2 linked regions of the Macaca fascicularis genome follow. The protein of the gene in region 1 binds, or shares a complex with, the protein of each later gene. Links are inferred from orthologs where the notes say so. Each region holds a gene or a part of one and is shown in the gene's direction. Other genes may lie near its edges.

The links.
Region 2: MED13 (region 1) and MED16 share a complex: the UniProt entries of both Homo sapiens proteins name them as parts of the mediator complex. The link is inferred for Macaca fascicularis from reciprocal best matches to the Homo sapiens genes MED13 and MED16.

The regions. Positions count from the first base shown.
Region 1 is NC_088390.1:46,524,479-46,533,122, reverse strand, and holds the start of MED13 (mediator of RNA polymerase II transcription subunit 13), read left to right. Parts: upstream 1-3,125; 5' UTR 3,126-3,202; coding exon 3,203-3,268; intron 3,269-5,112; coding exon 5,113-5,347; intron 5,348-8,644. UniProt on the Homo sapiens protein: Component of the Mediator complex, a coactivator involved in the regulated transcription of nearly all RNA polymerase II-dependent genes.
Region 2 is NC_088393.1:1,441,641-1,449,535, reverse strand, and holds part of MED16 (mediator of RNA polymerase II transcription subunit 16), read left to right. Parts: exon of another isoform or gene 1-960; intron 961-3,171; coding exon 3,172-3,327; coding exon of another isoform or gene 3,328-3,377; intron 3,378-4,764; coding exon 4,765-4,976; intron 4,977-5,624; coding exon 5,625-5,831; intron 5,832-7,369; coding exon 7,370-7,580; intron 7,581-7,895. UniProt on the Homo sapiens protein: Component of the Mediator complex, a coactivator involved in the regulated transcription of nearly all RNA polymerase II-dependent genes.

The DNA.
Region 1 (8,644 bases):
AACTGGAATCCCCGCTATTCTACTCTGCTTCTCCATTCTCTCAGTCCTGTCTTTCTCTCTCTCCTGCTCCCTTCTGCGATCCTCAGACTTTTTCTTCTGGGTCTTCCTCCCTTCTTCACTTCTGTCTCCTTGTCTCCCTCTTCTTTTTGAAAAGATTGACATTCAAACAGAAAGGTCAATCAAATGTTACCTCCTACCTGGTAGGTTCCAGGTAGATTCTACCTGCCACTGGAATCCTGAGGATGGTGCTCAAGTCAGGGGGTGGGGGCAACGGGAGGGCAAGACTTCTAAGGAGAATGGAGACCCCTTTAGATGTGAGGTCGAGGAGCGTATTTCAGCCTGAGGAAAGCAGTGGAACAAAGATCTGAGGAGTCTCTCAGGGAAAGGGAAATGGGCAGAGGAGCGCTTACCTCATTGGATCTGGGGATTGCTGTCTGCTGGTGCTGGAACTCAGTTATAAAGGATACCAACCTTAGTTGATTTGAGTTCCTAGATTGAATTAGTCCTGGTTGTATAATTGACTTTGATATGTGAACTTTGGGTTCGAATTAGGTTTAATAAGATTTAACTGCTTCAAAGGGCTTTATAAGAATTCATTTTATCCTTCAAATCTGATTTCAAAAGCTACCTACTTTATGACAACTTCCCTAACTTTGATGCTCTTCTTCTAGTGCACTTATTATGCCATAGTAGGTACATACCTTATTTAAGCAATTACCCCCATTGTATTTTACCTTATTCTGTAGGAAATATTTCCTTTAGTGCCTCTCTTCAGGAATCTTGAGGGACAGGCAGGTATCTTATTCCTATTTGTATCCTAGGCCTAGCACAGAGCAGGAACACACTTAATTGAGCCAGCAGGTTCTCAATAATGATTTTTAAAATTATATTAATAATTAACATTAAGTAAGCACTGTGGCAAGCACTGTATCTACATTGTTTAATTCACCAGGCACTTTAGGAGAAAAGTACTTTTATTACCCCCATTTTACAATAACTGAGAGAAAGAGAAATTAATTTGATCTAAGGTCAAATTTGGTCTAAGACTAACTAGTGCAGGGCAGAGCTTTTTCTCCAGCCTTTGGGCTTCAGACCTGGGCTCTTCACCACTACAGATGAACAAGTGGATGAATGAGGACTTCTTTTTCTTTTTTTGTCTTTTTTTTTTTTTTTTTTTTTCCTTTTTGTGGAGAACAGGGTCTCGCTATATTACCCAGGCAGGTCTCGAACTCCTGGGCTCAAGCTATCCTCCCGCCTCTGCCTCCCTGAGAGCTGGGATTACAGGCGTGAGCCACCGCGCCCGGCAAGGACTTCTTTTTCATTCCGTGGCTGAAGAAGTGACATGGAAGACTCTACCATTCAGTTTACAGATACAATTATGTATCTATAACACATAATACATAATTATGTATCTGTAATAGTTACATAAAATTACAGTAAGTCCTAACTCACCGATATTTCTAACTTCTGAATCATCTTTTCTTCTTCTGTCTTGCAATCCTAAAACCGTCAGAGAAACTGTTTTGAACTCTTATATTGAAGTGTAACCCATCCAAGCACTGGGTGTTTTATGGGAAAGAGAATGAACCTTTTGTTTGGTTCTTACTTCTTACCACCCACTCATTTGTAAATATACAAATATGAAGCACCTACTGTGTGCTAGGTATCTTTTTTTAGGCACTAGAGAGACAGAAGTAAACAACAACAAAAACGTAGTGAGACCTTTACATACACTAGTTCTCCTGCTTCTCACAATAACTGTATGAGGTAACGATGACAACAATAATAGTTAACTCTTAACAGTGCTTATCTGTGCAGGGCCCTGGGCTACCTGCTTAATTTGCATTAACTCATTACAATAAGCTTGTGGGGTAAGGGGCATGTTTTCCCCGTTTTACAGACGAGGAAACAAGACACAGAGCAGAAAGTGATTTGCTCAAGCTTGGAACCCAGGGAGTGTGGCTCTAATTCCCAGTCTATTAACTACAGGGCAATATTTTGTTTCTTAAGTTTCTATCTTCATATCACAACTTTTAGGTGGTGGAGTCTCGTCCCCATCCAGATCGTCTGACTCCCAAATCCAGAGGTTTGCGCCTGCACCCCAGCGGCCTCGCGAAATAAATGAGAATGTCTTGGAATTTTTGTCAATACTTTCTCTTCCAAAGAACTCAAACTGATTTCCACGTAATTCCCATTGATTTGTGAAATGAACCTTCCTGGACTGTAAATTTCCCCGCAAAGACAGGGCCAGGGCCACGGGTCATTTTACACTGGCCAGGGCACCCAGCAGGTGGCGCTATGTTAGTGGCTACCAGCTGGCTGCCCAGTCCCCGGGGCTCACCGCCTCGGCCGAAAGCTTCCCGGCCCTCCCTCGCTCACTTCTCTCTCCCCCTCCCCACGGAGCCCGGGCCCACGTGACCTCAAGGCGGCCAATGGGTGAGCAGAGAGGGCGAGCTGGTCCCTGTGGCCGCCATTAAAGCGAAGGGAAAACCCGTGAATTCGGATTAAAGGGGGAAAAACACCGCCCGCTGGGCCCACAAAATGGGGGAGACTACGGCGTCCAGCCGGTGAGGCCGCAGGAGGGCAGACGTTAGGCCGGCTCGGCCCAGGGACGACACGAAGACAGAGCCAGAGAATGGTCTGAGCCCGCAGACGCCGCCACCACCTCCGCCGCTGAGGAGACTCTGGGCTTAAGGACATCGCCGCTGCCGGGCCGGGGGCCTGGGCTTCTCTCCCGGTTCTCGCCCTTCCCGCCCCTGTGTGGGCGCCTCCCCGCCCGGGAGAACCTTCCAGGGCTTGGGCTCTGCCGTCTCGGACTCGTTTTTGATTATTTATTGTGTAATTTATTATTTTTCTTGTGGTAGGGGCACACATCCCCTCCGTCTCCCAGAGAAGGACGAGCGTCTGCGGGCTCCGCAGTCCGGCCCGCCAGGCGAGCGCGGCGCGGCCCTCCCGCCTCCGGCCCTCGGCCCCGGGCGGCTGGGTGCCGGCCGGGCGGCGGGGGCTGCTCGCGGCGGCGGCAGCGGCGGCGGCGGGGGGGTGGGTGGGGAGGGCGGGCGGCCCGGCGGCCTCCTCTTCCACCGCCCCCCCAACCACTACCCCCCCACGCCCTCCCCGGTGTCTGTGTTTCTCTCTCTGGTCGGAGGCGGCGGTAATGGCGGATGGTGGGTTGTGGCGCCGGCGGCGGCTGCTGTGAGGGACGATGAGTGCCTCCTTCGTGCCGAACGGGGCCAGCCTGGAAGATTGTCACTGTAACCTCTTCTGCCTGGTGAGTGCCGGGGCCGGCGGGCGCCGAGGGAGGGGGGCCGTGAGGTGCGCCCTTGGGCCGTGGGGGAGGGGGCCGGGTCTGGTCCAGATGCCCGAGTCCCCGGGCGAGGCCCAGCCGGAGCCGGCGCCCTGCGAAGCTCCGCGGCCAACCCCGGGAGACTGCGTTCGCTCTCCCACGGTCCCGGGCCCTGTTTGGGGAGTGTTGGCATTTTTTCTCGTCTTCTTTCGGACTCTCCTCTTCACCGTAGTCTCGTCCTCAACTTGAGCTCCTTATCTGGCAGGACAGTAACCTTTCTCTCTCTCTTAACTGTTGCTTTTCTGCTTATTGGCCTTGTATCCCAGCTTCACACTTTCCATTATTGCCCCTGCTCCCCACCGCCTTTATGTCTCATCCTTTTAATTTGGTTTCCCCATGTAAACAGGACCCCAGAACTTATGCCCCAGAAACCTGTCTTCGTTTTACATTTTTTTTGTATGAGTCAAACTAACGCAAGGTTAGTTTCTTCCTTGGGTGACTTAAGATCTCTCTGTAAAAACCAGTAGGTGCCATTTCATATGTTTTCTTTTTAAACTTTGAAAACAGTTTGCCATTTTTGACAATTTCTAGCCATCTTGCTTTTATTAGAACATAATTTTTTTTGTGCGAGTGAAGGGGGCTAATGGACGAGGTGCTGTGGTTTTGCACTGTTTCTATATTTATTGTGTTTTGCTTGCTTTTTCAGAATGTTTTGAGCAGGCTGCTCCCTTGTTTGATTGAAATGAAAAGTCCAGAGAAGCTGGGTGTAGGGATGACCATTGTGTAGGTTAGCCCAGGTCTGGTAACATCCAACAGTTGAGACTTTCAAAAGTACCAACTGTTGCAAATAACTTGGCCTGTGTGGGACAGTAGCTGAGCTTCATCAATGACTTTAAGTTTGGGTGACTTTATTTTTTCATTTTCTCCTTTGTGCTATGAGAAATATTAAGAGTATATGATAGGTAATAAGTGAGTTAAGTGGGCGGAGCACAACTAGTTGGCAAGTGTAAACTGCCAGTCATGTATCAGCAGTTTCATTTTTGGCACCTTATGCTTTGCACCTTTAAGTTAGATTAAATTATTGAATTCCTCTTGAATTTCTTTCTGGATGCTAAATTGAGATCTTTCATACTCTATCCTCTTCTACAGTATGTTTTTCTTTTCAATGTCCATTAATCAGCATCTCTTCACGTATAATAAGACATACACCAGGTTTTGTATTCTATCTTATCCAACTCAGTCTATTTTTGATACTTTTAGGATCAGGCTCTTTGAAGATAGACTAGCACAAATCTGACAGTTCTTTGTGAGCAGCTATTTGACTTTTCCGACAGGGGTATGTGTGAAGAATTAACATAGATTTTTTTCAGGACTTGTTCAGATGTCTTTTCATTAGAGACATTACTTCTGTAAATGTGGAATAAAAACCCGTGATAGGGTCTTTAATAATTGATTTTCAGTTAAACGTTTGACACCAATGAATAAATGTGACCATTTAGGACAGAGAAAAATGTACTCTGTTTGTATATTGAAGTGTGTGTGTCTGTCTATATTTAACTTCGTTCAGTTTCTTTTATTTCTACTTGGAGTACATATTTGCTTGCTATTCAGTGACATGGTGGTATTTATTTTTAACTGTGTTCTTCTCCCTAAAATTGTTGGTTGTTGAATTATAAAGTCATTTTTTTTTGGTTCTAATTTGCATTCAATAGCTCAAGCATATATTGAAAAATTGTAATGTCTTAACGAAATAGGAGACATCGTATGGAGTACTTTTGTGAATTTGAGTGAATATGCAATAATAAAACATCATGCTTTCTTTTATTCAGGCTGACTTGACGGGAATTAAATGGAAAAAATATGTATGGCAAGGCCCAACTTCTGCCCCTATTCTGTTTCCTGTGACAGAAGAAGACCCCATTTTGAGCAGTTTTAGTCGCTGCCTTAAGGCAGATGTACTTGGTGTTTGGCGGCGAGATCAAAGACCTGGAAGAAGAGAATTGTGGATATTTTGGTGGGGTGAAGACCCCAATTTTGCTGACCTTATTCACCATGACTTATCAGGTGAAAGAAACTTTCCATTTCTAATTAATGATACAGCAACATTGTATACTTCTCCCAGAATATCATTTGTATTACAAAGTAAGTTTGTTATTGTGGGACACTTAGGTAGGAGGCCAGATAAAAATTGAGCTTCATGTTTTATTTCACCATGATTATTTTATTTTACTCAAATTATCCATGTTATAGCTGGGTTTTTTAGGCTTGAATGACTTTCTCCTTTTACCACCTCTCTTCTTAATTTCTCACGGGTAGTTAGGGTCCAAGGAAGGCATGCCACATTAATCTCAAAAAATGGAATCAGGAAACAGAGTTCCTAACAAAGTCATGTAATAGTTTTGAAGCCAGATGTAACTTTTGAGTCACTTCAGCCACTGTCAAAGTTGAGTCTTTTGCATTAAATGGGCAGATGATTCTAAAAGTACTGGAAATGTAACTATCCTTGTGTTTGTGTGTGTGTGTGCGCGCATGTTTTAAGGTATGTAAGTATTTTGTTACTGTCATTTGTGCTGTTTGATTAACATATGAAGGCATATGTTAATTTAGTTATTTTTGGAAAGTGACTCATATACTGTTCTGTCACATACTCAATAAGAGACAAGTGCCAACTTGTTTAGCTTTTATAGGACATGGGATCATAATCTAAAAGGTTACACAAACAATTTTATTATGAGCAAATCAATGTGATTACTTCCTTATTTTCTTGACTTTTAGGACCAAATGCTACTTTAGAAAGAGAAACTATAGCTTTTCATAATAATTACTGAAGCTTTGAACTGTCAAAGTCAGTATTTACTGAATCTTAGATAATAGGAATGTAAATGATTGGTTGTATGCTATAAGGTTCCGAACACTTCGGTAAGATAGTTTGATAATGATTTTTGATAGATAAATTTAGGATTTCTAGATAATTTTTTTAAAGTTCTTGTTTGAAATTGAGTACTCTGAAGTTTTTGTTATTGTCCCTATGACCTATAGGATCTATTTTATTTCTGGATAGAATGTATTCTAGGTGTCTGTATCTTGAACTGGTACTTAGTAAGACCAACATTTATGTAGGAATGTACGTGTTACATTTGTATGTTTTGATAATTGCTTTTCACATTCTAATGAACATACTCTCCCGTGATAATTACTATTTTTGAGAGTGATTGCATTTCTTCAAGAAAGCTTTCCAGCTTTTGTAGTTTTTCTAATGAGATGCCTGCTGCAGAGTCTAGTCCCTAGTTCTTTGTATTTAATGTAGTTCTAAATGTGTAAAATGTGTGTATGTATATACATATACGTATACATGATGTATGTATATATAGTAGTTTTAGCAAGATAATGCCTTCTAATCATGCTGAAAGCTCCATTTTCTTTTATTGACTTGGATATAGTATTGAGTTATTTTAATCATTAAGTGGTCATAAAAATCACCTTACTAGAATGTTTGGAGACTAACATTGTTGAAAAACTATAAACTATTGATAAAATATATTTGTTGATAAAACATAATTATCAATAAAACTATAATGCTGACTTAGGGGCTTTGGTCTTAATAAAGTTGGCAGAGCATCTAAACAGACTTAACAGATCTTTCTTAAAGATTCCATGAAATACACTTTGTAGAATCAAAAATAATTTTAAGAGATATATAATGAGGCCGGGCGCGGTGGCTCAAGCCTGTAATCCCAGCACTTTGGGAGGCCGAGACGGGCGGATCACAAGGTCAGGAGATCGAGACCAGCCTGGCTAAATACGGTGAAACCCCGTCTCTACTAAAAAATACAAAAAAGTAGCCGGGTGAGGTGGCGGGCGCCTGTAGTCCCAGCTACTCGGGAGGCTGAGGCAGGAGAATGGCATAGACCCGGGAGGCGGAGCTTGCAGTGAGCTGAGATGCGGCCACTGTACTCCAGCCTGGGCGACAGAGCGAGACTCCGTCTCAAAAAAAAAGAAAAAAAAAAAAAAAGAGAGATATATAATGTTTAATTTTTTTTTCTTTTTTTCTTTTTAAGTAGAGATGGGGTCTTGCTATGTTGACCAGGCTGGTCTTGAACTCATGAACTGAAGTGATCCTTCCATCTTAACTTCCCAAAGTGCTGGGATTACAAGTGTGAGCCCCTGCACCTGGCCTAGTTTTACCATAATAGAAATAATATTGTGAAAGTTAAAAGACTATTAAAGTTAGATGTGAGCTGCTTTGATGTATATTGTTAAAAGTCAGTTTTTTCTTCTAGGTTTCATGTTACCAGTCAGATATGTTTTCTCCACTGAAACTAGGTTACAGTCTTAAACGTTTTTCTCTAGTTTAGCTTTGATTTTTAGCATAATTTTCAAAAATCATAGTTACTTGTACCTTTAAAATAGAGAGTGATCAGCTGGGCGCGGTGGCTCACGCCTGTAGTCCCAGCACTTTGGGAGGCTGAGGCAGGCAGATCGCAGGGTCAGGAGATGGAGACCATCCTGACCAACATGGTGAAACCCTGCCTCTACTAAAAATACAAAAATTAGCTGGGCATGGTGGCACGTGCCTGTAGTCCCAGCTACTTGGGAGGCCGAGGCAGGAGATACACTTGATCCCGGCAGGCGGAGGTTGCAGTGAGCTGAGATCTCGCCACTGCACTCCAGCCTGAGCAACACAGTAAGACTCTGTCTCAAAAATAAAAAAAAAAGATAGTGATCCTGAACGTGAATGAAAGTAATTTTGGGGGGAGGTTGGGTGTTTTTTTTTTTTTTTTTTTTTTTGGAAACAGAGTCTCTGTCGCCAAGGTTGGAGTGCAGTGGCGCGATCTTGGCTCACTGTAGGCTACGCCTCCTGGGTTCACGCCATTCTCCTGCCTCAGCCTCCTGAGTATCTGGGACTACAGGCGCCCGCCACCACGCCCGGCTAATTTTTTGTATTTTTAGTAGAGACGGGGTTTCACCGTGTTCCCCAGACTGGTCTCAAACTCCTGAGCGCAGTCTGTCCACCCGCCTCGGCCTCCCAAAGTGCTAGGATTACAGGCGTGAGCCACCACGCCAGGCGTAAATAACTTTTAAAAATTTATTAAAGTGAAGTGATTGAAATAGTAAACTGAAATACAATTAGGAGTGGTATGTGATCGTATTTACTGTTCCAAAGCTTGTCCTGTACTGTTTTAGTTTGCATAGTCAGTGGTATTTATATGTTTTAGCTTTTTTTTTTTTAATAAAACCTGTTATTAAGAATGTTGTTACTTAAATCAGACGTATCTTAAAGAATAATAAGATCTTTTCAGATGGAATATATTTGTTTTGCCCTTTTCTTTGCTCTGGGGACAGCGTCTGCCTCCCTCTTGG
Region 2 (7,895 bases), on another chromosome or scaffold:
TCGCTCTGTCACCCAGGGTGGTCCTGAACCCCACCCCTAAGCGATCCTCTTGCCTTGACCTCCAGTAGTGCTAGGATCTGGGGCGTGACCCCCGTGCCTGCCGGCCTTCTGAGTGTGTTAGGCATGTAGACTCTTCCATCCTTCCACTCCCGCCGCAGCGGCTGCCACCATCCTACGCGGAGCCGGGGCTCAGAGGCGGCGTTGCTCACCCGAGCTCACCCAGCAGGGACACCGTGAGGGGCTGCAGGCGTGCAGGCGGCTGTGGAGTGTGGGTCTGTGGGTGGGGCCGTCAGGCAGCAGGGCACAGGCCAGACCGGGCGGGGGCAGTGCACGGAATCCTCCAGAAGCTGGTTCAGGGAGAGGAAGCCACGGCTCAGCGGGTCAGCTGAGGCTGCTGAGAACACGCCCCTCACCCCACCCCCGCCCCCACCCACCTCCCCAGCAGCCTCTTCTGGGGCCCCCATTCCCATCTCTATCTGCCCGATGGGCCCCCGCACCCACGGAGCCAAGCCCGTCACCCCCACCTCCGGCACAAAATCTGGGGCTGGAGCGAAGCAGGGACGCCCGCCTGCCATGACCGTGGCCAGAACAGCCACTTGGTGCTCAGAGCCTCGGCGGCTGCGGGCCCGGTTTCCGGCCTCCGCCCTGGAGAAGGGAAGTGTTTTCCTGGCAGACAAGAGCCCAGGCCTTTGCCGACGAGCGCGAATGGACCCTGGAGCGGCCGGACGTGTGGGCTGGTGCTCCTCAGAAGCCACTAATGAGCCCCTGTCGAGAGGCCCCGATGGCTCCTGGGGCCTGCAGGTGTTTACGTCAACTGCCCATTGTGGCCGCAGGGGCGGTAAAGGTGAAGAGGGCGGCTGCCCGTTCCTTCCCCCGGGCCTCGTCGTGAGTCACCAGGCAGCTGAAGAGGGCCACTGCCGTTCCTTCCCCCAGGCCTCGTTCCTTCCCCCGGGCCTTGTGGTGAGTCACCCTGCAGTTTGAGCTGCGCTGGTTCCTATGGCAGCACCTGGCGCCACCCCGCGTGGCAGGCAGGGCTGCAAGGACCCTCAGCTTCACTGCCTGGTACCCCCGCTGGGCACATCTGTGTCCACCGTCTGCCCACAACCAGACCACCGGGTAGTCCCGGGCTCCAACGCTCCTCCTCGTCTCCTGCAGCCGTCCTCACCTGCTGGCCCAGCTCCTACTCGTCCCTAAGAGCCACGTCTCACATGCACGCCACAGCCTTTCTTGGGTCTCACGTCCCTGCAGCTGGGGGCCACTGAGACACAGTCCCTGCCACACCCATCTCTTCCCCCACCACCCCACGTGCCCACCATGCCAGGCTTCAGTCCCTGCGGCACCCAGCTCTTCACCCACTGCCCCACGTCCGCACTTAGCAGCTTAGCCTCCCCCTGCTTCAAGTCCCCTGTCATTTAGAAATGCTGACCGCAGGCCGGGCGCGGTGGCTCACGCCTGTAATCCCAGCACTTTGGGAGGCCGAGGCGGGCGGATCACAAGGTCAGGAGATGGAGACCACAGTGAAACCCCGTCTCTACTAAAAATACAAAAAATTAGCCGGGCGCGGTGGCGGGCGCCTATACTCCCAGCTACTCAGGAGGCTGAGGCAGGAGAATGGCGTGAACCCGGGAGGCGGAGCTTGCAGTGAGCCGAGATCGCGCCACTGCGCTCCAGCCTGGGCAACAGCGTGAGACTCCGTCTCAAAAAAAAAAAAAAAGAAATGCTGACCGCAGCCGTCAGTTGGATGGAGGAGGGGACGTAAATCGGGCTGTGAGGGCGCCCCGGGCACCAGCTGGGCGTGTGCTCATCATGGCGGCTGCTTCACTCAGTGCTAACCCTGTCTTTCCTGTGAGAGGCTCAGTTCCACAGGGCCAGCCGCCCTGACCACTGTGTGCCCTCCCCACATCTCAGCCACTCTCTGGGCCTCAGTGTCCCCAGGGGAATGCTGCTCATGGGACCCCTGTACAGGTTTGCAGGAGGCCCAGGCTCTGTGACTGTGATACCCTGTCCAGAGCAGAGACCTCATGACGCGGGTGGCACAGAGCAGCCGTGTGGTCGTCGGCTTCAGCCAAGTAACAAGCCAGCCCCAAACCGAGCAGCTCAGACCAGCAGCCCCGCTCTGGTTCTGTGGCTGGGCTGCCTCAGCTGCTCCGTCCTGGTTCCTGTGTGTCTGCGGTCAGCAGCCGAGGTGGCGTCGCCCGTCCACTGGCCCCACATGCCCCAGCAGGCCGGCTCTGGCTGCCCTCAGTGTCCCACAAGCAGCAAGAGCAGGACCCCCCGCACATGCTCTCTGGGTCTCCGTTTTCTGTTGTTGTTGTTTTGTTTTTGACTTAGGCTCTCCCTATGTAGCCCAGGCTGGAATGCAGTGGCTTGATCTCCGCCCACTGCAGCCTCATCCTCCTGGGCTCGAGCAATCCTCCTGCCTCAGCCTCCTGAGTTGCTGGGACTACAGGCACGCGCAGGCGTGCACCACCACACCCAGCTAACGTTTGTTGTACTTTTTGTAGAGATGGGGTCTTGCTGTGTTGCCCAGGCTGGTCTTGAACTCCTGGGCTCAAGCCATCCTCTGGCCTTGGCTTCCCAAAGTGCTGGGACGGCAGGTGTGAGCCCAGGTGCCCGGCCGTGTCACACTGGCTACCACTCCGCCCGAGATGGTAGCAGAAGCCTCCGCCCTGCTGGGAGGAGCCGCGTCTTCACACACAGGCTGCCAGGCAGCAGATCTGTGGGTGCGACCGTCCCGCGTGGCTTTATTGTGTGGGGAGCCTGGAACTGTAGTTGAGGAGGGATGGAAGTCCCAGCTCAGCTGACTGAGGCCGAGAGAGTGTTAGGGTTTGCATGGCCGCAGGTCTGGGGGGGCGTCGTCTCCCCACTGTCCGCTCCAGCGAGGGGGCGAGACGGCGCCACCCCACAGGTGTCCACGAAATCCCGGGGCCGCATCCCGTTGGCCCGCCGTGGGTCACGTGCCCGTCCCGGAACCAATCAGTGGCCGAGGCACAGAGCGCTCGGATTGGCCGGGCCTCGTCTTCCGGGCGTGGGAGCGGGGCTGCGTGAGACGCGTGAGACCCGGGAGGGGCCCTGGGCGGTTGCACGCCGGGTCCTGCTGGGCTCCTGCGGCTGCTCCTCAGCCTGTCTTCACTCCGTTACCTTCCTGTTTTCCTGCCCCTGCTTTTTCAGTTGGCGACAAACAGCCCACGATTCTCAAATGGCGGATCCTGTCGGCCACCAACGATCTGGACCGTGTGTCGGCCGTGGCGCTGCCCAAGCTGCCCATCTCGCTCACCAACACCGACCTCAAGGTGGCCAGCGACACGCAGTTCTACCCTGGCCTCGGTACGGTGGAGCCAGCGGCAGCCACTCGGCCTCAGCTCACACCGGGGGAGGTGGGCCCTGAGCGCAGGCCATGGGGCCGTGGGAGCTCACACCAAGGGAGGCGGGCCCTGAGCGCAGGCCACGGGGCCGTGGGAGCTCACAGCGGGGGAGGTGGGCCCTGAGCGCAGGCCATGGGGCCGTGGGAGCTCACAGCGGGGGAGGTGGGCCCTGAGCGCAGGCCACGGGGCCGTGGGAGCTCACAGCGGGGGAGGTGGGCCCTGAGCGCAGGCCACGGGGGCCGTGGGAGCTCACAGCGGGGGAGGTGGGCCCTGAGCGCAGGCCATGGGGTCGCGGGAACTCACAGCGGGGGAGGTGGGCCCTGAGCGCAGGCCATGGGGCCGTGGGAGCTCACACCACGGGAGGCGGGCCCTGAGCCCAGGCCGCGGGGCCGTGGGAGCTCATAGGGGGGGAGGTGGGCCCTGAGCCCAGGCCGCGGGGCCGTGGGAGCTCGGCCTCCTGGGCTCTGATGGGTTCCCGATTAGGAGGCAGACGTCATCTTTCGGGATCTATGAGGCTGGCAGACAGATTCAGTGCTCTTTAATTTGTAAAGGGAGCAAATCAACAAGGGAGCAGGGGGAACTTGGGGGCGGAACTCCTTTCCGGGTAGGCTGCTCCTCTCCTCTCCGCGCTGCAGCAGCTGTAATGTGGGTCCTGAGCTCAAACGGTGGCGTCCATGCCCCTGAGTGAGTCTGTGCGCTCTTCAGTGCTGACCCTGTTTGCTCAGCTGTGAAGTGGGGACAAGTCCGCTCTAGCTCAGGTCCCTTCCTTCCCCCAGCTCCCATTCTCCCCTGGTTCCCTGGAAAGAGCGTTGATCAAAACCCGCTCAGGGTTCAGGACTGTTCTCGGAGCCTGCAGAGAGGTTCAGGGGATGCGGTTCTGTGCTCCAAAGCCCTCGGTTTATGCTCCATTTTCCAGCCTCTCTACTGCAGCGACTACTTTTATGTCCTCTTTTCCATGAGCTTTGGGCTCTGGACCCCACCTCCCCCTGGCCTTCGTACAGAGGCAGACCCCAGTGTGACTGACAGCCCCAGCCCACCACCCTAAGATGCCTCTCTTTGGGATGCCAGGAGCCCCACCCCTTGGTCCCCCACCCCTTGGTCCCCCACCTGTAGCGCCCTCGTCCCCTGTGCTCCTTGAGTGGTACATCAGCAAGGACATGGCCCCGGCTGTGAGGGGCTGGGAGCTGTGTGGCCAAGGCTGCTGACTCCTGCTCCCCTGGTGCTCAGGGGCTTTGTAACTGAAGAAGGAGCAGCTGGGGGCACGGGTACTGGATGCCGGGGAGGGCTCATCCCCTAAATGGGCAGCCTTGGCTCTCCACACGCTGCAGAGCAGGCGGCCCTCCCCAGGTGGGCGTGTCCAGGGCCCTGCCCATGCCTAAGGAGTGCCCGTGCCCCGCAGGGCTGGCCTTGGCCTTCCACGACGGCAGCGTCCACATCGTGCATCGGCTCTCACTGCAGACCATGGCCGTCTTCTACAGCTCCGCAACCCCGAGGCCCGTGGACGAGCCGGCCATCAAGCGCCCCCGCACCGCAGGCCCTGCCGTCCACTTTAAGGCCATGCAGCTCTCCTGGACCTCACTGGCCCTCGTGGGCATTGACAACCAGGGGAAGGTGAGCTGCTTGTGTGTGTGGGGCTGGGACTGATGGGGTGCCAGAGGGAGGTGCCCCCCTGGGGAAGGGACTGCAGGTGCAAGCCCCTCGCCAGCCCCTGCCTGGGCTGCCTCGTCTGTGCCATGGGTTCATCTCGATGAGCGAGGTCACTGGGGTGGCTCACAGCGCATATTAGGAGCTTCCTAGCTAGGAGCTGTTGAGAGGACCGCCTTTCACGAGGTGGACTCCTCAGTTAAAGGAGACGAGTGTAAGCCTGGCTCCGCGTCCAGCGCAGTCAGGGCTCGGGAAGTTTTCCTTCCCTGTTCCCAGAGGCGTTGTCCATGACCCTGACAGAAAGGTGCAGGCAGTACAGACACATGCACGCACACGGGCCGGCACATGGGGGCGTGCACATACAGGCCCACAAGCATGGCTGGCCCACCGGTCCACTGGCCCATGGGTCCATCTGGAGCCTTCAAAGTAGGCTCAATAAAGGGCCTCGCTTGCCTCATTGCTTCCAGAGTGGGCCCAGAGCCACCTGGAGAGGAGCTGCAGGTCCCTTCCCCGCCCCCGACAACACGCACCTCAGCCCCAGGGCCCCATGCCCCTCCCGGCTGAGGTTGCAGCCCCACGTCTCACCCGGCTTTCCCTGGGCTCTGTCTCTGGCAGCTGAGCGTGCTCCGCCTCTCGCCCTCCATGGGCCACCCGCTGGAGGTGGGACTGGCACTGCGGCACCTGCTTTTCCTGCTGGAGTACTGCATGGTAACCGGCTATGACTGGTGGGACATCCTGCTGCACGTGCAGCCCAGCATGGTGCAGAGCCTGGTGGAGAAGCTGCATGAGGAGTACACGCGCCAGACCGCTGCCCTGCAGCAGGTGAGGTCATGTGGCAGGTGGGGCCCCGTGGCAGGTGGGGGCGGCCCTGCAGCAGGCAGGGGCCCCGTGGTCAGTGAGGGGCCAGCAGCAGGGAGGGGGGTCCCCGCATTAGTTGTGGAGGTCTCTGCGGCAGACGTGGGGGTCCCAGCAGCAGACGGGGTTGTGGCAGCTGTGGTGGGTCCCTGTGGCAGATCAGGGGCTCTGTGGCAGGCGGAGGGCAGGAGGGGCAGGTAGCCTGCAGCAGGTGAGGCTGTGCGTGGGGTGTGCACCCAGAGGCCCGTCCAGTAAAGCTGCACCTCAGAGGAGCACTTTGTTTCCCTCCTCACTTGGGAAGTTTCCTCTGTAACACGTTAAGCCTCACAGGTAAGGCCTGATGCTCCCTGGATGACTCCCTTCTCCAGTGTTCCCAGTCTGGGGGTGTCTTTCTAAGTCATCCTCTCAGAGTGAGAGAGGGTTCCAGGGTGCACACCAGGCAGGCCCATGGTGTGAGGCCTCAGCTAGCACAGTCAGAAGATGAACACACAGAGACCCGCCCATTGGAAGGAGAGCAGAGAGCGGACACGGAGGCCTGGCCGTTGGAAGGAGAGGAGAGGGCGGACACGGAGGCCTGGCCGTTGGAAGGAGAGGAGAGGGCGGACACGGAGGCCTGGCCGTTGGAAGGAGAGGAGGGGACAGAGAGGCCCGCCCATCAGAAAGGTCTCTTGCAGTGATGTCGTCATGCGCCTGCAATCTCAGAGTGTCTGCGAAAGACCTCAGATCTAACGAGCTCAACTGGCAGCTGCACATGGGACCAGCCCTCTAAACCTTAGTCGTGTTCCTCTATGCCGCCAAGAACCAATACGAAGATAAAATGGGAAAAATATCCCACTCACAGCACAGCCTGCTGAGAGACACGGGAGACCCAGGCAGGGGGCTGTGATGCTAAACCCCGGCATGGCTGGGGTCCGTAGCCAGTGACGGGGCTTGTGATGGCGAGGCCTCACTCTCTCCCTCCTTGGGCCCTCACTGCGTGCCAAGTGTTTCATTTTTGTTTTTTAGTTATTTCTATTTTTTGTAGAGATGAGGTCTTCTGTGTTACACAGGCTCTGCAACTCCCAGCCTCCAGGAATCCTCCAACCTCAGCCTCCCAAAATGCTTCAACTCATTAATTCTGTCCTGCTAGACCAGGGTCTCCCTGCAGGCACCGCGGACATCGGGGGCTGGAGCAGCCTCTGGGGTGGGGGGCATCCTGTTGAGCAGCCTCCCTGGCCTCCACTTGTCAGGGGCACCCCCAGTGGTGAGAACTAGAAATGTCTGCAGACATCACCAGGACGCCCCCGCCGGGGCAGAGCTGCTCCCAGCTGAGATCCGGCACCTGGTCCTGTGTGGCCGGTCCTCTGCGCCCGTTTTGCCACGAGGTTGCTGAGGTGCAGAGGTGAAGCAGCTTTCCCAGCTCACAGAACACCTGGGCTCAGGGTCGGACTGCTCTTCTCCCCACTGGAGCCTTGGCGGGCGCCTCTGCCACAGCCCTTTGGGGTGACCCGGCTTCCTGCCCCCAGGTTCTCTCCACCCGGATCCTGGCCATGAAGGCCTCGCTCTGCAAGCTGTCGCCCTGCACGGTGACCCGCGTGTGCGACTACCACACCAAGCTCTTCCTCATCGCCATCAGCTCCACCCTGAAGTCGCTGCTGCGCCCCCACTTCCTCAACACGCCCGACAAGAGCCCCGGCGACCGGCTGACCGAGATCTGCGCCAAGATCACTGACGTCGGTGGGTCCTGTCCCGCGCCCAGGGCCTTGAGGCTCTTTTCATTTTTTTTTTTTTTTATTTATTTATTGTTTTTACTCTTGAGATAGGGTCTTAGCTGGAGTGCAGTGTCACACTCAGCTCATTGCAGCCTCAGCCTCAGCCTCCGCCTCCCTGGTTCAAGTGATTCTCCTGCCTCAGCCTCCCAAGTAGCTGGGATTACAGGCCTGCACCATCACGCCCGGCTGATTTTTGTATTTTTAGTAGAGATGGGGTTTCACCATGTTGGCCAGGCTGGTCTCGAACTCCTGACCTCAAATGACCCACCTGCCTCAGCCT